Linked DNA regions of Macaca mulatta. The protein of the gene in region 2 purifies or fractionates together with the protein of the main gene of each other region. This does not show direct contact. Links are inferred from orthologs where the notes say so. Each region holds a gene or a part of one and is shown on either strand. Other genes may lie near its edges.

Evidence for each region.
Region 1: the proteins of CASP8 (region 2) and FASLG purify together in Homo sapiens (co-immunoprecipitation; 8 studies listed by BioGRID and IntAct, with this or other methods). This does not show direct contact. The link is inferred for Macaca mulatta from reciprocal best matches to the Homo sapiens genes CASP8 and FASLG.
Region 3: the proteins of CASP8 (region 2) and NLRC4 purify together in Homo sapiens (affinity purification with western blotting; 3 studies listed by BioGRID and IntAct, with this or other methods). This does not show direct contact. The link is inferred for Macaca mulatta from reciprocal best matches to the Homo sapiens genes CASP8 and NLRC4.
Region 4: the proteins of CASP8 (region 2) and TNFRSF10B purify together in Homo sapiens (affinity purification with western blotting; 14 studies listed by BioGRID and IntAct, counting the BioPlex papers as one, with this or other methods). This does not show direct contact. The link is inferred for Macaca mulatta from reciprocal best matches to the Homo sapiens genes CASP8 and TNFRSF10B.
Region 5: the proteins of CASP8 (region 2) and TRADD purify together in Homo sapiens (affinity purification with western blotting; 6 studies listed by BioGRID and IntAct, with this or other methods). This does not show direct contact. The link is inferred for Macaca mulatta from reciprocal best matches to the Homo sapiens genes CASP8 and TRADD.
Region 6: the proteins of CASP8 (region 2) and TNFAIP3 purify together in Homo sapiens (affinity purification with western blotting; 3 studies listed by BioGRID and IntAct, with this or other methods). This does not show direct contact. The link is inferred for Macaca mulatta from reciprocal best matches to the Homo sapiens genes CASP8 and TNFAIP3.
Region 7: the proteins of CASP8 (region 2) and NOL3 purify together in Homo sapiens (affinity purification with western blotting; 3 studies listed by BioGRID and IntAct, with this or other methods). This does not show direct contact. The link is inferred for Macaca mulatta from reciprocal best matches to the Homo sapiens genes CASP8 and NOL3.

What each region holds. Positions count from the first base shown.
Region 1 is NC_133406.1:30,162,323-30,164,900, reverse strand, and holds the end of FASLG (tumor necrosis factor ligand superfamily member 6), read right to left. Parts: intron 2,318-2,578; coding exon 2,261-2,317; intron 1,017-2,260; coding exon 622-1,016; 3' UTR 606-621; downstream 1-605. UniProt on the Homo sapiens protein: Cytokine that binds to TNFRSF6/FAS, a receptor that transduces the apoptotic signal into cells. Involved in cytotoxic T-cell-mediated apoptosis, natural killer cell-mediated apoptosis and in T-cell development.
Region 2 is NC_133417.1:106,386,261-106,390,157, reverse strand, and holds part of CASP8 (caspase-8), read right to left. Parts: intron 2,990-3,897; coding exon 2,851-2,989; intron 2,730-2,850; coding exon 2,685-2,729; intron 708-2,684; coding exon 643-707; intron 1-642. UniProt on the Homo sapiens protein: Thiol protease that plays a key role in programmed cell death by acting as a molecular switch for apoptosis, necroptosis and pyroptosis, and is required to prevent tissue damage during embryonic development and adulthood.
Region 3 is NC_133418.1:92,671,904-92,675,800, forward strand, and holds part of NLRC4 (NLR family CARD domain-containing protein 4), read left to right. Parts: intron 1-1,462; coding exon 1,463-1,723; intron 1,724-2,494; coding exon 2,495-3,897.
Region 4 is NC_133413.1:24,712,862-24,716,758, forward strand, and holds part of TNFRSF10B (tumor necrosis factor receptor superfamily member 10B), read right to left. Parts: intron 1,342-3,897; coding exon 1,236-1,341; exon of another isoform or gene 227-1,235; coding exon of another isoform or gene 139-226; intron 1-138. UniProt on the Homo sapiens protein: Receptor for the cytotoxic ligand TNFSF10/TRAIL. The adapter molecule FADD recruits caspase-8 to the activated receptor.
Region 5 is NC_133425.1:62,698,894-62,703,567, forward strand, and holds the start of TRADD (tumor necrosis factor receptor type 1-associated DEATH domain protein), read right to left. Parts: upstream 3,086-4,674; 5' UTR 1,081-3,085; coding exon 759-1,080; intron 41-758; exon of another isoform or gene 1-40. UniProt on the Homo sapiens protein: Adapter molecule for TNFRSF1A/TNFR1 that specifically associates with the cytoplasmic domain of activated TNFRSF1A/TNFR1 mediating its interaction with FADD.
Region 6 is NC_133409.1:42,959,608-42,964,091, reverse strand, and holds the start of TNFAIP3 (tumor necrosis factor alpha-induced protein 3), read right to left. Parts: upstream 2,822-4,484; 5' UTR 2,769-2,821; exon of another isoform or gene 1,909-2,768; coding exon of another isoform or gene 1,858-1,908; intron 937-1,857; exon of another isoform or gene 711-936; intron 1-710. UniProt on the Homo sapiens protein: Ubiquitin-editing enzyme that contains both ubiquitin ligase and deubiquitinase activities.
Region 7 is NC_133425.1:62,715,763-62,719,582, reverse strand, and holds NOL3 (nucleolar protein 3), read right to left. Parts: upstream 2,365-3,820; 5' UTR 2,274-2,364; intron 2,159-2,273; 5' UTR 2,151-2,158; coding exon 1,866-2,150; coding exon of another isoform or gene 1,856-1,865; intron 1,701-1,855; coding exon 1,383-1,700; intron 1,281-1,382; coding exon 1,230-1,280; 3' UTR 604-1,229; downstream 1-603.

The DNA.
Region 1 (2,578 bases), on a different chromosome or scaffold from region 2:
CACACACACACACACACACACACCTGCAATTGCACTGGAAATACACAGGCTGTGTTAGGAATGGAATGAGTCCCCAGAATATCTCTCTTGTTTCTGTGTTAGCTTCACTGATGGCTCAGGAGATGCGTTTAGAAGTGAAGATGCTGCCAGTGGGGCATTGGCCTCTTTCAGCCTCTTTAGCTTATTATGCAAGCCTCTAGTCCTCCTTTTCCATCCCTTAAACCCTCAGGTCACAACCATGTATCTGAAAGACAGTCCCCCTTGAGGTAGCAAGGCCCACCCTGAGAGGTGAGTTAAAAGGTGTCCTTTTCAATGTGCCCAAATACTCTCAGGCACTAAGATGAGTGTAGAACACCTGGTGGCTGCTTTTTCATGCTTCTGCCTCTTCACATGGCAGCCCAGAGTTTTACGTTCTTCCGTCATATTCCTCCATTTGTCTGGCTCATAAACGTTAGGTGAGTTGAGGAGCTACAGACCTTTTGAACCCTGTGGTCTCAAGGTCCACTTGGTTCACGTCTTCTTACTTGACCTCAAATGCATGTAAGGAGACCCTCACTGAATACAACATTTTCAGTGCCTATAACAAAGAATAATAATGGAAAGAATCCCAAAGTGCTTTCCTTAGAGCTTATATAGGCCAAAAAATGTCTGAGATTCCTCAAAATTGACCAGAGAGAGCTCAGATACATTGACATATAAATGATCAGCACTGGTAAGATTGAACACTGCCCCCAGGTAGCTGCTGTGGGCCCACATCTGCCCAGTAGTGCAGTAGCTCATCATCTTCCCCTCCATCATCACCAGATCCTGGGGATACTTAGAGTTCCTCATGTAGACCTTGTGGCTCAGGGGCAGGTTGGTGCAAGATTGACCCCGGAAGTATACTTTGGAATATACAAAGTACAGCCCAGTTTCATTGATCACAAGGCCACCCTTCTTATATTTCACTCCAGAAAGCAGGACAATTCCATAGGTGTCTTCCCATTCCAGAGGCATGGACCTTGAGTTGGGCTTGCCTGAAATAAATCCGAAAGGAGCTTTCAGCCAGGAATAGTCATGCATCCAACAAACTAAGTTTCTAAGGCAAAACTGTGGGCCCTTCCTTGAACAAATGTTCTACTCAGAATTACAGCCTGTATAGAACTGGCTGAGGGGTCAGAACTTGATCCATCACAGAATTTCCTCAACATTGTTGTCCTATTTTGTCATCCACACAATTAGAACAATAGTATAGTCGCCTAATCCATTGCAGTAAGAAATTATTGAGAAAATATTAGCTCTCTGGAGCACAAAGATTTTATTATCTTCAGAACTAGCACCCAAACTGCTAGGCTTTGAAGTCCTTTCCTGAAGAAAAAAGCCAAATCCAAGGAACTCTAAAATTCTAAAGTTGGGAAGGATCTTAGGGACCATCTGGTCCATCATCTCACCTGCAGTAAGAATTATTCAGCCCCTCAGTTTGGGGTACAGTTTCCTTTTCTTTGTATCCCCACAACGTCATGAACATAACCTAAATCTCTGCAGTACTGAAATTATCATAAATGCCTGTCTTTCCCTATTAGATGTCAAGCTCCCTGAGGGCAAGAGCCATATGCTACTCATTTTCACATCCCCAAATTGGTGCACATCAGGTATTGAGTAAGTGTCTGCTGATGTGACCGGATCATTCTACAATTTCTGCCTAAATAATTCCAGGGACAATAGCCTACCACTTTCTGTGATATTTATTCCATTATTTATGATTTATTTTTTTGGGAGTTTATAATGGGAGTGCCCATACCATATCATTTCACTCCACTTTACAGGCACATATTGAAAGTCTACAAGTGCCAGGAGTGAGTCTCCCTTCTTGCTCCTGTTTATACTCTTGGACAAAGCAGAGTGAAGCTCTTCCAAAAAACCAAGAAAGCGCTGACTAAAACAAGTCCTCATTCCTCACCTTCTCAGCTCTCACCTCTTGGATCTGTGCCCCCAATCACCTAAGGGACTTTGGAATGACTGAAAAGAATGAGCTCCTTATGGGCACGGGTCATGTCATAATCAGCTCCAGGTCTCCAATTTAGAAGGCCTTGCCCAGAGAATAGGGGATCGAAGTGTGTTTATAAGACTGACTCGACAAGGAAAATGTTAGTATGATTGAGTTCAAATACTGTCACCAGGAAGTAACAACTCTCTAGCACCTGGTAATGGAAACCAGGCAGCCATTTTGCCTTTTGCCAAAAGCTTTCCCAAACCCCACCCGTACCTTCCAGATACAGACCTGTTAAATGGGCCACTTTCCTCTGCTCCTTTTTCTCAGGGGGTGGACTGGGGTGACCTGTATCATAGAGAGAGGAAAAATATATGTTAAAATGAAATACCAACTATTATTTTGGTGGGAATTTAAATCCCATCATTTAAAAAAAAAAGATTTTAAAACCATAAATGGCAACAGTCTAACATATACTAATCATGTAAGTCTGAACTGCGGGATTCACCGTGGTCTATATTTCAGAAACAAAGAGGTAAAAAATAAACCAAATTAAGATTGACACATGCATAAATTATAATGTTACAATAAAATATAATTAATATAAAC
Region 2 (3,897 bases):
TAATTTTCTCAGAAGCCCATACCAGGCTCTCCCAAGCCTACTTCAGATATTCAGGATTTCCTCTTCTTCTTACCATGAGGACGAGCAAATGGGCTAATAAGTCGGGATGTATTTGGTGGATGGTTGGTTACATAAAGAGAAGTTATGATGCCTAAAAAGTACATGTTTCTGCTGGTTCACTGAGATGAAAACACAAAGATGGCTAGGTTATGAGAGTTTGCTGCTTACACCTAATCACAAAGGAGAAGCATTTTTGAAATGTTAAGTCAAACGAAAAGGCTTTGCTTTTTCCATTCCTGCTAGACTCTCCAAACCACTCCCCCATCCAGGCTGGCACGGCTGCTAGAAGATTTGGTAGGAGGCTTCTTACCCCCTCCACCTTCCAACTATTCCAGTATCTTCATCTTGGGTCTTAAAATAAAATTTGAATGCATAGAAAACTGAAGGAGTCACGTTTTAAAAATTAAGTCATATTTTTAACTGTTTTTATGTGAATTTTTTCTACAGTTCTCAAAATTTTCAGTAAGTTTTTGCCTCTTATCGGTTTATCTGGCAGCTTAAAAAAAAAAAAAAAAAGCTAACAAATTAAGTAACTAGAATCTGTAATGTAAAAAGAAAAAGGATTTGGAGGTTTCCATCTACCTGTGATTCACTATCCTGTTCTCTTGGAGAGTCCGAGATTGTCATTAGCCCACACAACTCCTCCCCTGCAAATAACAAAGAGACACGTGTAGAATGAGACATGGCAGGAAAGGTACACTGGTAATGAAATATGTAGCACATAGAACAACATAAGGTCTTTTTTCAGATGAAAATTCAAGCTGGGCACAGTGGCTCACGCCTGTAATCCCAGCACTTTGGGAGGCCAAGATGGGAAGATAACTTGAGATCAGGAGTTTGAGACCAGCCTGGCCAACATGGTGAAACCCTGTCTCTACTAAAAATACAAAAAAAATTAGCCGGGCATGGTGGTAGGCACCTGTAGTCCCAGCTGCTCAGGAGGCTGAGGCAGGAGAATCACTTGAACTCGGGAGGTGGAGGTTGCAGTGAGCTGAGATCACACCACCACTGCACTCCAGCCTGGGCGACAGAGTGAGACTCTGTCTCAAATAAATAAATGAAATGAAATGAAAATTCACAGACGGCCATAAATATAATCTCCTTTCAACCCAGAGAGATTCTGCAAGCAGGGCAATTAACATGCTTCTGGAAATATAAGATCAAATTGTCTCCTCGCCAAAGAGAAAAACATACCAAGAAATGCCATAATTTATATTGCTCCACATGGCCAGGTTGAATTTTTGTGGTATTTGTGAGATACTCATTAATAAAGCCACTAGCTTAGGATGAATTAATGATTTAGTACTTTACTCCTTAAAGTATTCTTAAGGAGTAAAGCTTGGGCTCAGCAGGCAGGGAGGAAAGGGAAGGAGAGCCTGCGTGGACATTAATCTTTAAAATACATTTGAATGATCCAAAATGTATTTTATACACACACACCACAAAGAGCCAAGGTAAAAATACAATAAAAATATAACCAATATTAATGGAGCGATGGCGTTCTTGGACTTATAAAAATTTATCTGAATTTAAAATCATCTTCAATGAGTATATATAATTTTTCTAATCAGAAAGAATACTTTATTAATTGCCTATAGTCCCAGCACTTTGGGAGGCCCAGGTAGCCGGATGGCTTGAGTTCAGGAGTTTAAGACCAGCCTGGGCAACACAGCGAAACCCCATCTCTACAAGAATACAAAAATTAGCCAGGCATGGTGGCTTGTGCTGTGGTCCCAGCTACTCAGGGGGTTGAGGCAAGAGGATCGTTTGAGTCCAGGAGGTAGAGGCTGTGGTGAGCCAAGATTGCGCCACTGCATTCCAGCCTGGGGGACAAAGTGAGACACTGTCTCAAAACAACAACAACAACAAAAGAATATTTGATTAATCAAAATTTCGGAGGAGATCATTGAGAGTTCTCTCTCTTGATTCAGCCTCGCTTACCCAGGTAGAAAAAGTGAAAGGAAGTTGAAAGGAGTTGTTTAGTGTAGAAGGTGTTGACAGAGGAAGTGACTTAACCAAGGAAATTATGAAACATAATTTAAATCCAGCTACTCAGTGCATAACATGAGCAGCACATCAAGGAATAACATGAGCAGCACATCAAGGAGAAAAAAAAAGTCACATAGAAAAAATGATGTTAAATTACTTATGACTGACTCACTCTGCACCTGTTTCAAACTTGCCAGCCTGGGCTGCAGGTCTTAGGAGAGCAGGTGCGGCCGAGCGCGGTGGCTCACGCCTGTAATCCCAGCACTTTGGGAGGCCAAGGTGGGCAGATCACCTGAGGTCAGGAGTTTGAGACCAGCCAGGCCAACATGGTGAAACCCCATCTCTAATAAAAACACAAAATTAGCTGGGCGTAGTGGTGCGCGCCTGTAATTCCAGCTTCTCAGGAGGCTGAGGCAGGAGAATTGCTTGAACCCAGGAGGTGGAGGTTGCAGTGAGCCAAGATGGTGCCACTGCTCTCCAGCCTGGGCAACAAAGTAAGACTCTGTCTCAAAAAAAAAAAAAAAAGTAGAGCAGGCACATTAGGACGTGCATGTGGTAGAAGGCTGTGGGGAGGACACACGCAGGTACCAGAGAGTAAATTAACTAAATCTTGAAAATGTATCTCCAAGCATTACCATTTGAACCTTCCTCAGGACTTCCTTCAAGGCTCCTTGTTCTCTCTGAATTAAAAGAGGAAACCCCCAACAATATTTGATTAGAAACAACTGTGACATGGACAGATTTGTCAGTTTCAATTTTAGAGTAGGTTTTGCCAATTCCCGGCTGTCAGGTCGTTTCTACCTCTGCTGAATTCTTCATAGTCATTGATTATCTTCAGCAGGCTCTTGTTGACTTGGGCACAGACTCTCTTCAGGATGTCCAACTTGCCTTCTCCCAGGATGACCCTCTTCTCCATCTCTACGAAAATATCCAGCAGGTTCTAAGAGGAAGAGAAATAAAGTTGGGAATCTGGATTGAGCCCTACTGGTTTTTAGATTAGATTTTTTTTTTTTTTAACTTCCACTTTCTCCAACCAAGGACCTGCCCTTGCTTCCCAAGTTTCTGACAGCTTCTGCTGGTCTCTCACAGCCAGCAGGCTACTAGGGAAGCGATTCCATGTTTTCTGGCCCAGAAAGACAGAAATGAGAGGATAAAGGAGAAGCCATGTCAGATGTCACCCAGTCCCCAGGCCCTGTGCTCAAATCTCCTGCGAATGCATTACTTGAGGACTGTAAAACAGCCTGAGCAGCCCGGTCACCATGGTGATGCCCTGGGGACGGCCTCACCCCCAGCATTGCCTCTCCAGACCTGAGTACCTACAGACACACAGACACATACATACACACATGCACATACACACACACACAGATACACACAACACACACAGACTATACTCAGTGATACACACATAGAGGCATAAATACAATACACACTACACAACACACACACAGACACATACCACAAGAGAACACACACACACAGACACAGAGATACACAGACACACATACCACTTATACAGAGACACACAGAGATACACATATCACACACAAATACAGACACACACTATACACAGAGAAAGGCACGCACAGACACAGAGATGCACATACAACACACAGACATGCAAAACACACACAGAGACACACAACACACAGAGACACAAAACACAGACACACCACACACAAACACAATATACACACAGAGTTCCAGGTCCCAGGTCGTTTCGGGGACTGCGGAAGTGGAGGAAATGCCTCAGACTCACCGCTGTCTTTCCCAGCTCTGCCGGGTCTCAGGCTGGGCTGCATCTGCACAACCAGCCTCCTTCTCCCGGCCCCTGACTCCGCCTTGCTC
Region 3 (3,897 bases), on a different chromosome or scaffold from region 2:
GACTGTGGCAGAAGAATCACTTGAACCCAGGAGGCGGAGGTTGTGGTGAGCTGAGATCGCACTTATACTCCAGCCTGGGCAATAAGAGCGAAACTTCATCAAAAAAACAAAAACAAAACAAAACAAAAAAACCCAGAAGCAGCCTAGCCCAGGAAGAAATCTAGTGCAGACGGTGTCTGAGAGTTAAAAACCAGGAAGACATTTCTCCAAGCTGTCACAAACATAGCATGGGCACAGTGGGCACAGTGCCTGGGTACAGTGTGGTCTGCCTTTCAGAATTAGACATTGCAGAGTCAGACACAAAAAGGACACAACTATCCTCAAGGCCAGGCGGGAGAGCTTACATTGGATAAAAATCAATGTTTTGATGTGATACTCTTCAGAAAAGACCAAAGTCTGTGAGAGATAAAATGTGCTCTTCCTTTGTAGGGTGACACCTGAATAAAGGCTAAAAATAGTAGCTATCATATATTGAGTTATAACTTTGTACGAGATACTATACATGAATTCTTGTAACAACTTCCTAAGTTAAATACTGTTCTCCACACCATTGTACGGATGAGGAATCCCTGGTGTGCTGGAGCTGGTTCTTACTGTGATGTGAAACCTGATTATTGAATTTTCAGGATTTTGTTAGCCAGCTGACATACACTGTTAGCTTGAAATAGGCCATGGTAGGAATATTTATACCACAGGGATTGGTGAATGCTACAAATTAGGGCCTTTACTCCTAGAAGGCCAGTTTGTGAAACCATTTAGCAGCACATAACTTTTTTTGTTGTTGTTGAGATGGAGTTTTGCTCTTGTTGCCCAGGCTGGAGTGCAATGGTGCAATCTCGGCTCACTGCAACCTCCACCTCCCAGGTTCAAGCGATTCTCCTGCCTCAGCCTCCCGAGTAGCTGAGACTACAGGCATGCACCACCACACCTGGCTAATTTTGCATTTTTAGTAGAGACAGGGTTTCTCCATGTGGTCAGGCTGGTCTCAAACTCCTGACCTCTGGTGATCCACCCGCCTCGGCCTCCCAAAGTGCTGGAATTACAGGTGTGAGCCACCGTGCCCAGCCAGCAGCACAGAATTGAAATAGACTCAAAGAGGCTTAGTGACTTGCCAAAGTCACACAGATGGTAGCAAGTGGCAGATCCTAGGCCAGTGCTGTTATTCTAAAGCCAACGGTCTTACCACTACGACCTCAATGGGGACTGTTTTATATCGGAGGGACAAGATAACTCACCTTACTTCATCACCAAAGCAAAACCATCTTGCTCATCAATGACTCTGGGGTTAGAACTGCTTTGCAGAGCATTTCTTAAAGGCCTGGAATTCAAGCATTTGGCATCTCCATAACTCAGGAGATGCCCACAGGAAAAAAATGCATGGCCCTAATGCTCTGGAGACAGATGCTGACATGCACATTATATATAAACAAATAAATATATATATTTCTTCCCATCTCCTCAGTGAATTTCATAAAGGACAATATCCGAGCCCTTATTCAAAGAATGGGAATGACTGTTGTAAAGCAAATTACAGATGACCTATTTGCATGGAATGTTCTGAATTACGAAGAAGTATGCAACATTTGCTGCGAGAAGGTGGAGCAGGATGCTGCGAGAGGGATCATTCACATGATTTTGAAAAAGGGTTCAGAGGCCTGTAACCTCTTTCTTAAATCCCTTGAGGAATGGAACTATCCTCTATTTCAGGACTTGAATGGACAAAGTAAGTATCATTTAGTTTTGCAGATGGCAGAGCCTCTGCTTTTCCTCCTCTTCATATCACCTGGCAATGGCCTTTGATTCCTGCTAAAGAAAAGCTTAGATGATTTTAGGAAAAATTCATAGTAGATCAATTGATGGTGAAGCCAAACAACCCCAGGGCCAGGGAATAAATGACTGAGTATAGTGTCACTGCAAGATAAAACAGGACAATGAGTGTACTAGTTAAGCTGCCAATGCAGCAGTGGTTCTCAGCGTTCCCTGCTTGGATGAGATCTACCTATGGGAGAGAGGCCCAGCTGACTACCTACCATGTCCAGGCCTCCTGGTAAAGACAGCCTGACTGACACAAGAGCACAATTCTATTTTTCATGAAATATGAATTCAGTTTTTATTTTTTTAAATTAGTAAATAAGGTCATGACAGATTTTACTTAGAGTGAAGGCCTAATATGCTGACAGTTACCCCAACCATCTTTCTCCGCCAAATTCTTTACTTTCCTTAACCCATACACAAGCTCCTCCCTGTTCCAACCAGCTGCTATAAGATTTGGTTGTGGAAAGGAGGAAACAGAAAGCAAAAAGGGGAGTGGGGTAAAGGATGCCGGGGAAAGGGGGAGCAGACAGGACCCTTTGTGCCTGCTCGGAACTGGGAAAGGACATTACGTTCACCAATGGCAGATTCTCAGCCTCACCCCCTCGTTCATCCTCCTGAACACTAGGTTTTGAGGAGACACAGAATTGGGTCCTCTTTAACATCACCTCTTCTCTAATAGGTCTTTTCTATCAGATATCAGAAGGAGACTTGGACGATTTGGCTCAGGATTTAAAGGGCTGGTACCATACCCCATCTTTTCTGAACTTCTATCCCCTTGGTGAAGATATTGACATTATTTTTAGCCTCAAAAGCACCTTCACAGAACCTGTCCTGTGGAGGAAGGACCAACACCATCACTGCGTGGAGCAGCTGACCCTGAACGGCCTCCTGCAGGCTCTTCAGAGCCCCTGCATCATTGAAGGGGAATCTGGCAAAGGGAAGTCCACTCTGCTGCAGCGAATTGCCATGCTCTGGGGCTCCGGAAAGTGCGAGGCTCTGACCAAGTTCAAATTCGTCTTCTTCATCCGTCTCAGCAGGGCCCAGGGCGGACTTTTTGAAACCCTCTGTGATCAGGTCTTGGATATACCAGACACACTCAGGAAGCAGACATTCATGGCCATGCTGCTGAAGCTACGGCAGAGGGTTCTTTTTCTTCTTGATGGCTACAATGAATTCAAGCCCCAGAACTGCCCAGAAATCGAAGCCCTGATAAAGGAAAACCACCGCTTCAAGAACATGGTCATCGTGACCACCACCACTGAGTGCCTGAGGCACATACGGCAGTTTGGTGCCCTGATTGCTGAGGTGGGGGATATGACAGAAGACAGCGCGCAGGCTCTCATCCGAGAAGTGCTGATCGAGGAGCTTGCTGAAGGCTTGTTGCTCCAAATTCAGAAATCCAGGTGCTTGAGGAATCTCATGAAGACCCCTCTCTTTGTGGTCATCACTTGTGCAATCCAGATGGGTGAAAGTGAGTTCCACTCTCACACACAAACAACACTGTTCCATACCTTCTATGATCTGTTGATACAGAAAAACAAACACAAACATAAAGGTGTGACTGCAAGTGACTTCATTCGGAGCCTGGACCACTGTGGAGACCTAGCTCTGGAGGGTGTGTTCTCCCACAAGTTTGATTTCAAACTGGAGGATGTGTCCAGCGTGAATGAGGAAGTCCTGCTGACAACTGGGCTCCTCTGTAAATATACGGCTCAAAGGTTCAAGCCAAAGTATAAATTCTTTCACAAGTCATTCCAGGAGTACACAGCAGGACGAAGACTCAGCAGTTTATTGACGTCTCATGAGCCAGAGGAGGTGACCAAGGGGAATGGTTACTTGCAGAAAATGGTTTCCATTTCGGACATTACATCCACGTATAGCAGCCTGCTCCGGTACACCTGTGGGTCATCTGTGGAAGCCACCAGGGCTGTTATGAAGCACCTCGCAGCAGTGTATCAACATGGCTGCCTTCTCGGGCTTTCCATCACCAAGAGGCCTCTCTGGAGACAGGAATCTTTGCAAAGTGTGAAAAACACCACTGAGCAAGAAATTCTGAAAGCCATAAACATCAATTCCTTTGTA
Region 4 (3,897 bases), on a different chromosome or scaffold from region 2:
CCCCTCCTTCTCAGTATTTACAGCTTCTTCCAGGAGGACACCCTCAAGACAGAGGCTTCAAGCATCACCTATGTGCTATGGTCCCCAAATGTGCACTGCTAACCCTGCCACACACTGTCCCCTCAGAGGCCAAGTTACCCTGAGCGGTTGAATTTGGTGCCTTGATTGTCCTCATTCCCCACATGTCATCCATCCACACCCCAAATACTTCTTGAATTCTTCCCATTCCTGTCCTGCTCCCTGGTCTTGACTCTGGACCACAGCAATAGGAGCATTTACAGATGAGTTTGTGTCTGCTTCACACTGGGTTCTTCCTTCTCCATGCTCTGCTCCTGACAAGCCCACGCGTGCAATGTGAGAGTTTGCCCTCAGGCAAGCCTTTCCTGTGGCCCTTAGTCATGGAAAAGAAATGCAAATTTGTAAATGGATTTTACAAGCCACTGCTTGCCACACTTGCCAGCCCTGGAAACCTTCATGCAGCAATCAATTCTTACCTCATACGCGCGGGGGAAAGAGGGAAAGAAGTGCGAGGTGAACACAGCAGTCAAGCACATTTCAGGCCAGGTTCCTGCTGCATCTGTCAGGGCTCAAATGACCTTACAGGGCACCATATAACATCCCAGGGGAGCGCCTCACACTCAAGGCCCTCCACCTGCTTCCTGTCTTGCTCCGCTTCAATCCAGGAGTGGGCACTCAGGATGCACATCCAATGCTGGTGGCCCTCTGCTGAAAACTTCGCAGGGACATCCATCACTCGTGAAATAAAATCCAGCTTCCTCTCTGTAGGATTTGAACCCACCTGTCTCTCTAACTTCGTAACCCTCCACTCCCCACAGTAGTCCCCTGCCGTTGCTCCATCTTCCCCAACCCCTGACCCCCGGCAATTGTTCCAGTGGAACCCTCCTAGGAGCACTCTTCCTGGTTCTCTGCACCTCTGGCCCTGCCCACCTCCGGATGTCAACCCAAAGTCACCATTGCCTGGAGGCCTCACCAGCCCCATCTCTGTTCCACTCAATTCTCCCTCAAGGTGCCTATCAGTCTCTTTGGCGGTCTCATTCATTTGTGTGTCTTGATACCATCCTAGCAGGAAGGCTCCAGAAGGACAGAGCCTTGAGCTGGAGGCACCCAATGCCTCTCTGTGGCATAAAGAACCAGGAAGTGCAAAGGAAACAGACTGGAAGCTCATGGAGACAAGGGGAGGAGGGGTAAGGATCAGAGACCCATCTTAAACATACCAGGCGGACACAATCCCTCTATGGGGCTGGATCTCTTTTGTTGTGGAGCCGCTCTTCGCTGGGGATCTAGGGATTGTCGGGTGATTGGAGCACAGTCAGCTGAGACCTGTGGGGACAAAGCAGGGATGGGTGTGAGTGGCTTCCAGAGCTCACCCCTCCCAGGATCCACTCACATTCCCTTGACCCCAGGCACGCAGGCTAAACAGAACCCTCATCTTTCTTGCAGCTCTCACCTCTCAAACATCCTTTCGTGTTTGTTCGTCCCTTCATATTTCAGGGAAGGCCAAGTAACATTCACTTGAAAAACTCTTCTAAACATGTTTATTCCAGAAAATGTGGGCAAGGAAAGTTTTTAGAAGAATACACAAACCACACATGATAATCTCAGCTAAAGATAGCATCCATTAATATTTTGTTTCATTTAGTTCCACTATTTTTCCATAGGTATGCCTATTCTCTCTCTCTTTCTCTCATTCTCTCTCTCTTACACAGACACACACACAAACAGACACACAGGCACACATACACATTTTTATAAATGGGGGTTATAATACAGCAAACTTAAAAAATTGGGATACAGGATCAAACATTAAATAGTGAACTTCTGATTTTAAAAGGTGCCTGACATATAGACCAATGGACTAGATCAGAGAGCCCAGAAATGAACTTGCACGTACAGCCATGCATTGATCAACATTGTTCTGAGCAAAGGGTTGTTAGGTGATTGTGTTGTGTGAACATCAGAGAGCATGCTTACACAAACCTAGATGGTGTAGCCTATGACACACCTGGCCTATATGGTATAGCCTCTTGCTCCTAGGCTACAAACCTGGGTAGTATGTTACATAATTGCTGGAGCCACCATCATATATCCAGTCTGTTGTTGGCAGAAATGTTGTTATGTGGTGCATGACTACATATATCAAGTAATTTTTGGAAAAGGTACCAAGACCATTTAATTGAGAGAGGACAATCTTTTTTAAAATGGTCTTGGGAAATCTAGATATTGACTTATCACAAAACAATGACCTCAGACCTTTAACTTACATATATACAAAAATTAACTCAAAATGGATCCAAAATCTAACATAAAAGTGAAAACCCTAAAACTTAGGAGAAAACATAGGAACGATTCTTCATGACCTTGGATTTGGCAATGATTTCTTGAATGTGATCCCCAAAACACAAGCAATATAGGAAAAAAATAGATAAATTGCACTATGTAAAAATTAAAAACTTTTGTGCATCAAATGATAATCAACGGTGAAGGGGCAACCCACAGGAAGAGGAAAACATTTACTAGCTATATATCCGATAAAAGGTTAATATCTAAAATATATAAAAACTCCAACTCAACAACAACCACCACAAGCCAACAATGTGGTTAAGAAATGAACAAAGAACTTGAATGGTAACAAGCTCTTGAGCAGCCAATGTGTCAAAGAAGAAATCAAAAGGAAAATTTAAAAATATATTAAGAAAATGAAATGGAAAGATAACATAACCAAATTTATGGGATGCAGCAAAAGCAGTGTTAAGAGGAAATGGCAATAAATGCCTACATCAAAAAAGAAGAAAGATCTTGAATACAAGACTTAATGTTATACCTCAAGGAAACAGAAAAAAAGATACACTAAGCCCACAGTTAGCAGAACAAAAGAAATAATAAAAATCAGAGCAAAAATAAATAAAATAGAGACTAGAAAAAAATACAAAAGACTATCAAAATTCTGTTAGTTATTTGAAAAAAAGAAATGAAATCAACAAACCTTTAACTAGACTAAGACAAAAGAAAGAAGACAAATCAAATAAAAAATGAATGAGGAGGTCAGGTGAGGTGGCTCACGCCTATAATCCCAGCACTTTGGGAGGCCAAGACAGATGGATCACTTGAGGCCAGGAGTTGGAGACCGGACTGGCCAACATGGCAAACCCTCACCTCTACTAAAATACAAAAAAAAAAAAAAAAAAAAGCCAGGCATGGTGGAGCACACCTGTAATCCCAGTTACTTGGATGGCTGGGTCATGAGGATCGCTTGAACCTGGGAGGCGAAAGTTGCAGTAAGCTGAGATCATCCCACTGCACTCCAGCCTGGGCAACAGAGGGAGACTCTGTCTCAAAGAAAACAAAAAACAAACAAACAAAAAAAACAACAAGGAGACACATTACAATGGACAGAAATGCAAAGGATCATATGAAAATATTATGAACAGGCCGGGCGCGGTGGCTCAAGCCTGTTATCCCAGCACTTTGGGAGGCCGAGACGGGCAGATCACGAGGTCAGGAGATCGAGACCATCCTGGCTAACACCGTGAAACCCCGTCTCTACTAAAAAAAAATACAAAAAACTAGCCGGGCGAGGTGGCGGGCGCCTGTGGTCCCAGCTACCCGGGAGGCTGAGGCAGGAGAATGGCGTAAACCTGGGAGGCGGAGCTTGCAGTGAGCTGAGATCCGGCCACTGCACTCCAACCTGGGCGACAGAGCGAGACTCCGTCTCAAAAAAAAAATAAAAAAAATAAAAAAAAAAAGAAAATATTATGAACAATTATATGCCAAAGGATTGAACCACCTGGGAGAAATGGACAAATTTCTAGACACATACAACCTACCAATACTGAATCATGAAGAAATAGAAAATCTGAACAGACTAGTAATGATTAA
Region 5 (4,674 bases), on a different chromosome or scaffold from region 2:
CATCCCCTGACCTAGGGTGCAGGTACCCCAGAGTACCCAGCTGGGAAGCAAAATTGGGATGCAAACAGCAACAACCCAGAAAGAAGACCAGGACCTGTCACAGGGAGCACCCCAAGACAGAGTGGGTGCCACCTAGTCCAAGCTCTCACGCCCCAAATGAAGGTTGACAAAAGAGAGGGACTTCGAAGCACAGAAAAGGGGGCGTGTGCCCTGGGCAACCAAGCCGTCTGGGTAGGCGGCCAGCAGGGCAGAGGAGGGCGGGAGGTCTCAGGTGTTCGGCCTCCACCAAGCGCGGCTCCCACTGCTCGGGAAGAAGAGCGGCGGCTGTCGCTGCTCTGAGGCCACGAACAGATCCCCCAACCCGCTTCAGCCTCCTGTGGCCTCTGCCCTGAGATGGGAAAGGGGGGCCTGGAAGGGTAGGTACTGGGGAGGGGTCTTGAGCAAGGAGTGCTGGAGTAAGAGAGGAAAAGAGGAGAGAGACATCCACAATTAGTAGAAAGGAGTGAGCCAGCTGGTGGAGGGGGGCGGCGAGGGAGCAAGAGATGTTAGTGCACAAATAGGTAAATCATACACAGACGAGGACACACGTCTACCGTCAAGGTCATGCCACAAGCAGAGAAGAGAGCCTGCACAGCCAGGGGTCCTCTGTCTTGCTCCTCCCACCCTAAATCTTCTCCTTAAAGGTGGCTAAGCCCAGGCCCACCCACAAAATGCCCCAGGCCACCCCTTCCTCTCCACATGCCCGCCCACCCACGCACCTGCCAAGGCAGCCTGCAGAGCCCTGTACACTGCCACCTTCTGCTGGGGGTGCGCGTAGGCATCCGACAGGACCACCTTGTCCAGCGAGGATTCCACAAACAGGTATGCGCTGCCCACCCACTCTTCGTGCCCATTTTGCCCAGCTGCCATCTCACCTCCTGGAGATGCAGACAGTCGGGTATCCAGTTCATCCCCCCTCCCTCTGCCCTGGAGACAACCGTCCAGCCCCACGTGGTTCAGCGTCTCCACAGTAACCTCAAGTCCCACATGGTTCAGTTGTCCCCACCACTGGTTGGCATACTTGGGACAGGAGTTCACCATCTCACAGGAAGCCCCTTGAGCTCCTGGCCCTATACTGAGTCCCACCCACCCCACGCTTGCAGTGAGGACTGTCCCTCCACTGCCTTCTCAGCGAAAGAGCCCAGGGTCACAGTGGAGGGGAGCAGAGGCAGATTCTGCAGTGGGGCTTCTCTGCCTCCTCCTCAGGCCTGTGTGTCTCTCTAACCACCATGGACCAGAGACATCTTCATGCTGGATGGTGCTCATGCCCCAAAGCCAACAAGACCCATATGCTCCTGGCCTTGCCTTCTGAGTAGACTTGAGCCCAGCATCTCTGGAGGACCTCAGCCTAAGACTAAACCTCCTGTCTTCACTTTGAAGGACACCTGCAGTTTGCATCTACCCAGATTCCCTCCTGAAAGCCTGACTTACCTTAGGGACTTCCCTCCTCCCTCTTCTCAATCCATGTGCCTGTGTCCCACTCCCTAGTTTCAGGTCGGGCTTGTGCACCAGACCTGGCTAATCTGCACATTCCATTCACATTTCTGCAGTGATTAGTTCAGAGCAGGGTGTAGGACTTAAGTTGGACCCATGAGAATCAACCCTGCAACTCTGGTTGAGCCAATAGGAAAGAGGCACTCCTTTCCCTTCCCTTGGGACTGAACTGGAAGGAAGAGGTAGCTCTCCTTTAATACTGCTTGGGAAGAGTCTGGCTGGGAATGAAGCTGACACAGAAAGAAATAGTCAAGAGATGGAGCAGTGCATTCCCAACCATACTACGCCCCTGGATCCAGCTGTTCCTGAAGCCACTGCACCCTGGACTTTTCAGTTATGTGAGCTAAATAATCCTTTTTTGTTGTAAAGCCCTTGGAGTTCGGCTCTGGTCATTTCCAACACAAATTGTTCTATTCCTTCCCTGTCCAGAAAAAGCCAGGGCCCCTTGGTGCTAGCATAGTATCTCCTTCCTCCATCTTCTGACAAAAACCTAGCCCTGGACCAGCTGAGGCAAAATTCCCAGCCAGGGAACCACTGCACTGACCCACAGCTCAGTGGTCTCCCAGTTACTACCCCATGAGACAGCAAGTAAGAAACTGCCCTCCCTCTTTCTCCCCACCTTACCCTTTTCCTAGAATCATGGGATCAAGGCCCTACCTCCTGCCCCATCAGTCACACTCCTGCACTCTCCAGTCATCAGGGTTTATATATGGTGGGCTAGGAGGAGTGTTGAGTGTTAGCTATGGGGCAGGACAGATGGGGTGGCCCCAGCTGCCATCTGTTTACATGAGGAACAGGAAGCTATCCTGTCCTGGCCTCGCAACGTGCTGGAATTACAGGAGTAAGCCACTACTCTCGACCTTTGTTTTCTAAATTTTCTTGTTTTTGAGACAGGGTCTTGCTCTGTCACCCAGGCTGGAGTGCAGTGGCACTATCACGGCTCACTGCAGCCTTGACCTTCCCGGCTCAAGCAATCCTCTCACCTCAGCCTTTCAAGTAGCTAGGACTTTAGGCATGCGCCACCAAGCCTGGCTAGTTTTTGTATTTTTAGTAGAGATGGAGTTTCACCATGTTGCCCAGGCTGGTCTCAAACTCCTGGGCTCAAGCGATCTGCCCACCTCAGCCTCCCAAAGTGCTGGGATCACAGGTGTGAGGCACCACACCTGGCCTCCTAATCTTTTCATAGAAAACATTAATACTGTGTACTTACACCAAACCACAGTCTGGATAGTAACAGGAAATTTGCATTTTGTTTATCTCTGGGCAGGATGGAGGGAGGGAGGTGGGGGTGGGGAAGGATTGTGGGTGATTTTTATTTTCTTTGTATTTAGCAATATTTTCTGCTTTATGTGAAGTAGAGACATTTTCTTTGTATTAAAAGAGCAAAATAAATTTGTTTTCTTTAAAAGCAAAACAAGAAAAAGTGGGAAACTCTGCAGGTGACAAGTGGGTCCATGATAGGGAGCCAGCCACGGAGGTGAGATAAGGGGGAGTCCTAGGAAAGTGGCCTGGGGAGTAGGAGAGAGTGAGAACCTCCCCTGGAAACGTTCCCTCTTTCACGTCTTCCTAGCCCCTTGACTTGGGAGTGCTGACCCGATGGTTGTGGCCCCACCCCAAGGGGTGGAAGTGGGGACCAAACGGGACCAATGTCTGCCCATCAGGTCTGCAGGGGAGGGTGGGGAGGCAGGGAGTACTGGGAACCTGGAGACTGGGGATGCTTCCTCACACTCACTAGTACCAGACCCATGGGGGAGGTAAGCCAGGCTGGAGGTCGAGTTAACAGGGTAAAGAGGCCAGGGCCCTAGTTTCGCATCCGCCGATTGGCAGCTCTTCTAACGTGTTCTTTCACAGAAGCCCCTCCTTGGGAAGCCCCGCGCCCCACCCACCCGTAGTCGTCCCTTTTTGGGAGGGGCTGAGGCTTCCAGGCTGGGTCCTGAGAACGTTTGGTGGCCGGAGACTGTGGGGCACTTGGGTACCGACCTAACAACGTCTGCCGCCATTTCCAGGGGCGAGCCACGCACGGTGCCCCTTGAACACTTAACAGTCCCGGGGGCAGCCCCACCTCTGGCTGGGTGGACAGGGACAGCCTGTGGGCGTGGCCCAGAAATGAAAGCCTGCGACTCCTTGCGACCCGCCGGGCACACCCCCTACTCAGCTACGCAGCTCCCGAGCGCTGGAGGGGAGCTTCCCAGGCTCCCACTAGCCCACCCTCAAGCTGGGGTTTCGCACGTGCGATCGGCTGGGGTGGACAGGGGGGTCTCCGCTCAAGGAGGTGTTCAGAACCACCCCTCCTCCCCCACCCTCTCTCCTGCGGGGCCCTACTGCTCCTCGAAAGCGCTGGCAGGGACGAAGAGCCTGCGGGGGCCAAATTCAGTACCGCCCCCCGCCTCCCACGGGAACAGCCCAATAGGCCGCCGCCACCAGCTGGCTGGAGCAGCCGCTGGTGACATCTGCGCCGCGCCCACGCTTCGGAGCCAAGATCCACCTCCGCTCCCGCCCGCACTGGGGAGCCCACCCACACACCCACCCACCAACTGCACTAACCTGGCCGCCTCGGCTGGGCCTGGGTTCCCACGCCCGCCAGGCTCCGCTCTACTCGCGCCGCTTCCGGGTGTGCGCGGAGGCGCTGGGGCGGTGCCCTAGCCCGAGCCTCCTAGTCCGCCCGCGCGTCCTGCTCCGCGGGCTCCCGGTGGCTGCTTCCCGCCCGCTGCCCTCTGCTGCCAGTCCCCTGTCCCGGGCAAAGCCCATCTGGTTCGCTGAGCAGGTAAGACACCAGCGCCCAAGGTTAGACGGCAGGAAGACCGGGACTTTGGGGGTTTGCGATTTTTACGAGGCCGGGGGCTCGTAAGAGCGAGAGCTGCCAGATTTCGGTAGATCAAGGGAGCGCCCCCTGGAGACCAGAATTTTCTGGTGCCCCTGGGGATCCGGCTTCAAGATCGCTGCTGCCAGTGGGCACTCAAAACGGGGTGCCCATGTGTCCCAGGTACAAGCCCAGCCGAGCGTATCTGAAGCCCCAGGAAACACGTGGCACAAATTCCGGGAGAAACTGTTAGCCCGGAAGATATGGGAACATTAACTGGCGAGTAGTGTGAAGCCTTGTGTACGCAAACCTTCAGGAACCTTAAAACAAGATTGGCGGCC
Region 6 (4,484 bases), on a different chromosome or scaffold from region 2:
TTGAGCTCATGAATTTGAGATTAGGCTGGGCAACATAGTGAGACCCAGGTCTCTACGAAAACAAAAAATGAAAAACCACAAAATAATAATAGAACAATAAATTCTATACTTCTAAGAACAGATATTGGAGCTCAATCATTTTAACTCAACTGCCAATGAAATTTTATCATCACCCTCCAGGTACCAACACAGGGGCATGTCTGCCTGGCTTTTCACCCTGAAATCTTTAAGCATAATCAACTAGTAGAAGGAATGAAAGTCTAGAAGCAGACAAGGAAAGAAGTTTCCACCAGGAAGCCACTCTGGCAAATGAAGGAGGAAAGGCGGCAAAGACCAGCATCTACAACCCATGCCAACAGTGCAGGATGATGCAAATTTACATGATGTGGGATCTCTCCAGTATGGAACAGTGTAAAAAGCCAGCTCGGATTCACTAGCCCTTAGTAGGGTGTCTGGTCACAATTCCTAATTTCCAAGAAGATGAAGAAGTTTTCAGAGCACAAAGACATTCCCTAGGAAATTTCGCAGTGATTGTTAATTCCATTCCTGCCGCATCCTATTTGCCAGGGCAACTCTCCAGTTAATAAAAATGTTAAACCTATGGAAGAGGGAGGAGAAGAAATCTAGATTTTAGGGTAGCTACTCCTGCGTGGGTCTAGACTCTCTTAACACCATTAATAAGGTGGTCTAAATTCTTGTGGCCCACTCACAGGGGAGAGGTTGGACTAGATGACCCATGGTTTCTCCTGAGGAGTTTTCTGGTGATAGTTTTAGATTAGGATTCTTAATCTGATTGCTGGGAAAGGCATAGTGGGAGTCATTCTCTGGATCAGATGGTGCTCTCTTTTGATGTCAGACGTCCTCTACAGGTGGAATTGGGCAAAACCATAACAGGACAAAAATAACACATACACCTTTCCTTTGTGGCACAGCAAAAGTCTCTCTCACGATATCATCCATCCATCCATCCATCCACCCACCCACCCACCCATCCACCCAACAAGCACTACCTGACCACTACTGAAGGCCAATCACCATGCTTGATGATGGGATTAAAAGTCAAAGATGACCTTATTCCCTTCCTTGAAATCACACTACCAACTTAGTCTGCAGCTAAGGCAACGGAGTTACAGGTACTGCTCAGATCCCACAGCCATTCAGGGGCGAAGTTTTGCCTAGGAGCCAGGTCTTTCAATACCTGCCCCTTGCAATCCCACAACACCAAACCTGTGGCTACAGTGCCTGCCACAATCAGATGGAAAGAGATGGGCAATAGGAAGATTTTAAACAAATGAGGTGTTATCTCTTTTTGCTTGTCTGACCCTTTTTTCTCTTCTGAATCTAAAGATTTTTCACCAAAGATCTAAAATAGTGAGAGCTGTAAACCATATGCAAGACATGCAAATGTCAATATTGGATACCCCAGTGTGATCTCATTGGTAGGTTTAGCCTTGCACAGCCTGTAAAACTGCCTCCTTAGAAATCAAAACCCACTGTCCAAGTTTCCAGTTCTTGGATCTCTCTACACTTAAGATTAAAGAATAAATGTTTCAGATACATTATAAAGTGGCAAACAATGCAATATTACCCTTAACTTTTTTTTTTTCTTAACATTTGTTACCTCTCTGTCTTATTTAAAGGTAATTTCTCAACTTTTGTCACTAGGATTCTACAGAACTTCTCCATTGCTCAAACTCTTCTCCCCCTTGTTTTATTTTTCCACTCTGGGCAGATATTTTTGTCTGCGTTGTGGAAATTGATGAATTATTTATCAACAAATACCTCATCCAAATTTGGGGATGTGCCTATCAAAAATAGTACTAAGAATTGAAAAAAAAAAAAAAATCAAAGCAGCACCTTAAACAATGAGAATGAAGCATTCATTGGCTGCTCAATAATCCAGTACATTAAGGTTGCGGGTCCAGAAGCCCCTTTAATTAACAATGGTTCCACCAAAATGCTGCCCTGAGACACTTGACCAGACTGGCTTTCCAAGGCAAGAAGATCTGAGGCGAGGAGAACTGAAAACAAAGCGGGTTCAAAAAGAGTTAAGCTCCTTCCTTACTTAATGCCACTGCTTTCCTGAGAGGCCAGGTGGCAGGATGTGGGACGACTCCGGCTGACAAAGACAGTCTAACCGTGGGGTAGGGGCTGGAGCAGGCGCCAGCGACCCATGTCTACATGCATACTTCTCTTACACTGCTGCAGCTGGAAAAGCTAGACCCTGCGCCAGGACCCCAGCCCTGTGCACGGACCCCTGAGCGTCTGGGAAGCTGTCTCTGGGACTGAAGCCCCCCACCTCCGCCGGGCTGGCGGCCACTGCGGTACCCTACTCCCCGTCGGGCTGGCCCTGCACAATTTGGGAAAAAGCCGCAGCGCTTCTGCAAGGTCTACGTGGCCAGGAGCATGCAACGCTTGGCTCCCAAAAAGACACGAAAGGAGCAAAGCATCAACGACCACCCGATCAGAGGGCCCGAGGGGCGCCTCTTCACCAGTCAGCTGCAGCTTAAGTTCCGTGCATTATCCGAAAGGAACAGCTGGCTGGAGGTATCCAGGGCTGTCACTCCAACCTCTGAAGCGGTGACCTCAACTCCCAGCACTTCAAAACCCAGACAGAAACAAACGTCCAACAAACTCCCACTCCAGGAGCGCTGCAAAACCAACGCCAGGTAGACGGAGCCAGCCCGGGGGTCGCTGCCCAACATGCATCCGCAGCCCTAGGCTGCGGTGAGCCCGAGGCAGACGGCACTGGGAGGCGCAGTGGTTACCTCTCCGGGCCCCGCGATCCTTTCGCAAAGTCCCAAGTCCGGGTCAAAGCAGGAGCGCCCAGCAGGCGGAGGTCGGGGCCGGGACCGGGCGGAGGCGACGCTCCATGGACGCCCGGGGTCGGGCTCGCTCGCTGGCAGGGTCGGCCGGGGGTGTGATCTCTCTTGGCGGCCGCTATCGCCGCTCCGCCCCCGCGGGCTCCAAGTTCGCTTGGCCCGCCACGAAGACTGCAGACTGCGCAGTCTGCTTTTCCCCGTTTCAGTTGTATGCGGGTCTAGGCCCGGGGATTTCCACGGTACTTTCCAAAGTCACGTGACTCTCTGGGTAGGGCTGCGAATTGCGTCCCGCCGGCCGCCAGAGGGCGCAGGGGGCGAGGGGCTTTCGCGGCCTCCGCGCCCCGACCCGCCCCCTTTCCCTGCCCCGCCCCGCTGCCTCGCCCCGCCCAGTCCCCGCGGGCCCAGGGAGAAACTCCCTCGCCCCGCCCCGGGGTGTCCCCGCGTGAGTCACCTGGGCATTTCGGAAGCTGGGGTCACGTCACATCCATGTGGAAATCGCGGTGATGGGAACTGGAAATGAAATAGGTTCTTTTTCGCAGTTGTTTTTCTGCAGAAAATCATCAACTGTGGAGAAGAAGAAGGGAAATAAGAAAAAAAGAAAACCCTAAAAACCACCCTGGCGTCCGGGCCCGCAGGCCTCGGGCTGGCTCTGAAAAGTTTGGGCTGTGCACGTGATAAGCGCGTAGGCGGGAGCCCCAGACAGGACCCGGGCGGGAATTTCGAGAAAAAGCAGCAGTGACAGCCTTTGGTCCCCATCTCCATTGTTCCTGCCAGCTCTGGACCCCAGGCTGCATGAGACGTAGGTCCCAGGGAACACCCGACCCCGTGGCCCCAATCTTAGGTAAACTTAGGAATCAGAACAACATTCACCCCTATGCCACCCTTGCTCCATTTCCCCTTCTCTATTTCTGCTCACCAAGCATCCAGCTGACATTGCATTCAAGCAGCATTTCAGCTTAGAAATCGCTTCTAGTCCATCACCGTGCTTGCCATGTGTCTCCAAGGCTTTATTAGGTGTGTTTTTAGTTGTCCTGATTATCAGTTCACCCCAGGGTGCTGATGGCTGATAATACTGGCGCTCCCTTCCCCACCCCCATGCGTTGCATAGGGAGAGTGAGTCATGTGGAGATGGGTGCAGTCCCTTGGGCAGTGGGGGTGCAGGTCCTGTGCAGGGAGGAGGCTTAGGGTGCTTTTACTGTCTTACTGCCCTCTAAGCACGGGACCCTTTGGATCATTTACTAGATTGGCTAAACTAGAACCAGTTGGAAATATTCTGTACTGTGGTCCCTTTAATTACATTTAAGAATACTCGTCAGGCCATATATCACAGGTTTTTAATTAGAAAAGTATCCTCCTCTCGCCCGTAAGTACCTGCAGAGATGGGGATGCGAGCTGGGTGGAGGATGGCACTGTTTTGGCAAAAAGAAGTTTAGAGCAGGCCGGGCGCGGTGGCTCACGCCTGTAATCCCAACACTTTGGGAGGCCGAGGCGAGCAGATGACGAAGTCGGGAGATCGAGACTATCCTGGCTAACACGGTGAAACCACGTCTCTACTAAAAAATAGAAAAAAAATAGCCGGACGTGTTGACAGGCGCCTGTAGTCCCAACTACTCGGGAGGCTGAGGCAGGAGAATGGCGTAAACCCGGGAGGCGGAGCCTGCA
Region 7 (3,820 bases), on a different chromosome or scaffold from region 2:
ATCTCTTCTCCTGGGGTGATTGATGGCCTGAGCCTGGGGTCCTGGTAGTAGAGACCCAGCTGGTCTGGGGTCTGCTTTCTGACATTTTGCATCTGTCACTGGTCATATATTTATTCCATATTTATATGGTCTACTTCCTGTGACTGGGAGCAGCAGCTCCTGAAGGTTTTGTGGGCGGGGGAACAGGACATTCCTTCCTGGAAGGCACCAATTTTCCCAGCCCCACTCCCATTACACACACACACACACACACACACACACACACACACACAGTGATTCAGGCCTTGAGAGTCAAGCCCAAGAGCTCCCTTGGCCCTGTCACCACTCCCTCTACTGGCCTCTGCTGTTCCTGTCTTTGCTCACACCCTTACAGCTGGTCTCTGGCAGAGGTTGGCATAGCCTAGGAGCAGCTGCAATTGCGCCTGAGGGACAGGCCCTAGAGTTTGGTGGCCCAAGTCCTGAACCCCTCTTGGACCAGGTGAGGTGCAGAGGTGGCTGCTGCTTCCAGTTTCCCTTCAGACTTAGCTGTATGAGCCCCACTCCTATCCTTTGGCCTTAGTTTTGCCATCTGTAAAACTCAGAAACACAGTTGGAAAGTCCTTGTTCATTTAGTCATTGAATATATTATAATATGTATAGAGCGCCTTTTGTGTAAGTTACTGGTCAGAGTCCTCACTGAGCTCCCAGTTCAGAGGGAAGCCAGACAATTAAAACAGTAATGACAATGATGTGTGTGGCCTCTGTCTACCCAAGGTCCCTTTCTGTTCCCCTCTTCTAATCTCACTTCCCAAGGCTGTGAGCTCTAAGCCCTCCCTACGTGGAGAGAAGTCACCCTCCCCTTGCTCCATGTTCAGCCCAGGGACTTGCATGGGGTTGAGCTGGTACCTACACAGGCTGCCAAGTGGCTCATGAGGGGAAATGGGTTGTGTATGTGGGCATGAGGGTCAGGTCCTTGTCCCACTAAGGGGATTAGTCTGGGATCTCCAGGGTGCAGCCTGGACTCCTAAGGGCAGATTAGGGCTGAGGACTGGATGATGCTTGTGGTAGGCTTGGGGCTGCCCAGGTCCCTGGGACTCAGAGGTACCCACCCTCTGTTCCTGGGCAAATAGCCAGAATCGTGGAGAGAGCCCAGGTCCCGGTGGACCCTCCGGAGTTTATTCACTTCCAGCAGTACTGGGCTGGACTGAGCCTTGGTGGCATCCGATTCGGCTCCAGCAGCATCCCAGGTCCTATCCAGGATGGGCGGAGCACGGCCAGTCAGAGTTCTGGCCTTCAGGAATCTAGAGATGACGGGAACAGTGGTCAAAGAGTTGGGGTCCCGCATCCACTTCCCAGGCCATGCCCTCCCGCCAAGCCGGCTCAGGGTTTGGGTGGCCTCACACCTTCCGACTCATCCCCTTCCTCGAAGTCGGGCTCGGGCTCTGGGTCCGGTTCTGGCTCCAGTTCCGGCTCTGGTTCTGCTTCAGGCTCGGGTTCCAGCTCTGGCTCTGGCTCCAGTTCAGCCTCTTCAGAGGCCTCTGCTTCCAGCTCTGGCTCTGGTTCCTCTGGGGTCCCGGATTGCACCGCCTCGCAGCCCTCCAGGCCCCCGGCCTCGTCGGTGTCTGAAGCTCTGGGCAACCCGGGGCATGTGGTCCCCGAGCCGGGTGCCTCCGGCGTCCAGTGGCCTGGGCATGGAGGGTCATAGCTGCGGTCCCGGTAACCTGGGGCGGAAGTGGGAGTGACTGAGGCTCAATTTATCCCTGTGAGGTTTCACACTCTCCTACTTCTAGGGGAGACGACAACCCCACCCTCCCCGGGCCTTTGGTCAGCCCCACCCCGTCCCCGCTCTGCCCTAGGCCCCGCCCCGAGCACTCACCCGGACCCACGTGCTGCCAGTCCCAGGCGGGGTCAGGCGCGCCCGCGGTACGCTGGGCACAGCGCAGCAGCTCCTGGCAGGCGGCCTCGCCCTTGCCCTGCACCAGCAGCAGTAGGCGGCGCACCCTGCGCTCGGCATCAGGCAGTGCATCCAATGCCTCGTACTCTGGCCCGGTGAGCACGCCTCGCGCCAACAGCGCGTCCAACAGCAGCCCCGAGTCCGCCTGCAATGTCTCGACCAGGCGTTTCCTTTCGCGGTCTATAGTCTCCGACGGCCGCTCCTGCGCGTTGCCCATTGTCAGGCCTGCATGGAGAAAGGGGAGAGAAGTAATAGAGGGCTGCCCTCCCCCCTGCCCTCGCTGCCTGTGACCTCTCTCTCATTGCCCCCAGTGAACACCCGGGCTGGGGTCTAAGTTCACCTTGATTCCAGCCGCCAGTGGTCTCCGCAAGCACAGGACCTGGAGGCCAACACAGGGAACTCAGTGTCCTCCTGCCTCTCCAGACGCTTCTGTCCTGTCTCCTCCTCAGGCTCCTCCTTCTGTCCCCAAACGTCAGCTGTGAATCTCTTCTCCTCCCCTGCCTTTCCCAGGACTCTGTCTACTCTCTGAGTGCCCTCCCCAACCGGGACCTCCTGAGCTAATCAGAGGCGGGTTCAGACCCCGTTTATCCAAACTAAGGTCTTTCTCTCAAATCTGCTTCACCACCTAACCAGGCAGAAAAACCTAGGATTGATGCTGATACTCTACACCCAGCTTGCAGACAAGTCCTTTCCAGTCTGACTGCTGAATATTTCTCTCACTATCCTCACTACTTACTAAGTCCAGCCTTCTGCCTCCTGCTTTGGCCCTGCAGAACCCAGGACTAGAGCTCCCTGCTTCCATAATCTACCCTCCAGTCCCCTCTGCACCCAGAGCACAAAGTGCTGAGAGCCTCCCTGCCTTTCTCCCCTTACCTTGACCCTGAGATCCAACTTTCCATGACAAGCCCTGCCTCTCCACCCTCCCACCAACACCACCACCATAATGCAACGCCAATGTGGTCTCATGGCCCATCCTGGTCCCCTGATTCCTGAGCAGAGATACCAGAATCTTCTTCAGGCCTAGCTCTGACCGAGATCTCTTGACATCACCTGAGACCCACCTGTCTCCCTGCTGAAGCCCTAACTCCCAATGTGACTGTCTCCCTGCTGACCCACCTGGCTCCCTGCTGACCTCGGAATGACCTACAGACATTTGTTGTTTGATCTTGAAGTACCCAGGGCCTAGCTCACACAAGCTACCGACAAATGCTTGCCGAACTTGGACTGATTTTCCTCCATGGATTGCCCTATTTTGAGAGACCTTTTTTTTTTTTTGAGATCGAGTTTTGCTGTTCCCAGGCTGGAGTGCAGTGCACAATCTCGGCTCACTGCAACCTCTGCCTCCTGGGCTCAAGTGATTCTCGTGCCTCAGCCTCCAGACTAGCTGGGATTACTTGCGCATACCACTATGCCCGGCTAATTTTTGAATTTTTAGTAAAGACAGGGTTTCACCTTATTGGCCAGGCTGGTCTTGAACTCCTGCCTTCAAAAGATCCACCTGCCTTGGCCTCTCAAAGTGCTGGGATTACAGGTGTGAACCACCAAGCCCGACCTTTTTTTTTTTTTTTTTAATTTTTAAGAGATGGGGTCTTGCTATATATTTTTTGTATTTATTCTTTTTTTTTTTTTAGTAGACACGGGGTTTCACTATGTTGGCCAGGCTGGTCTCAAACTCCTGACTTCGTGATCCACCTGCCTCGGGTTCCCAAAGTGCTGGGATTACAGGCGTGAGCCACCTGCCGGGCCTGGTCTTGCTATATTGACCAGGCTGGTCTCGAACTGCTGGCCTTGAGCGATCCTCCCATCTCAGCCTCCCAAAGTGCTGGGATTACTCTTGAGAGACTGTCTCTACCAACAGCAGCTATTAGGGAGAATTAATTTGCTTTA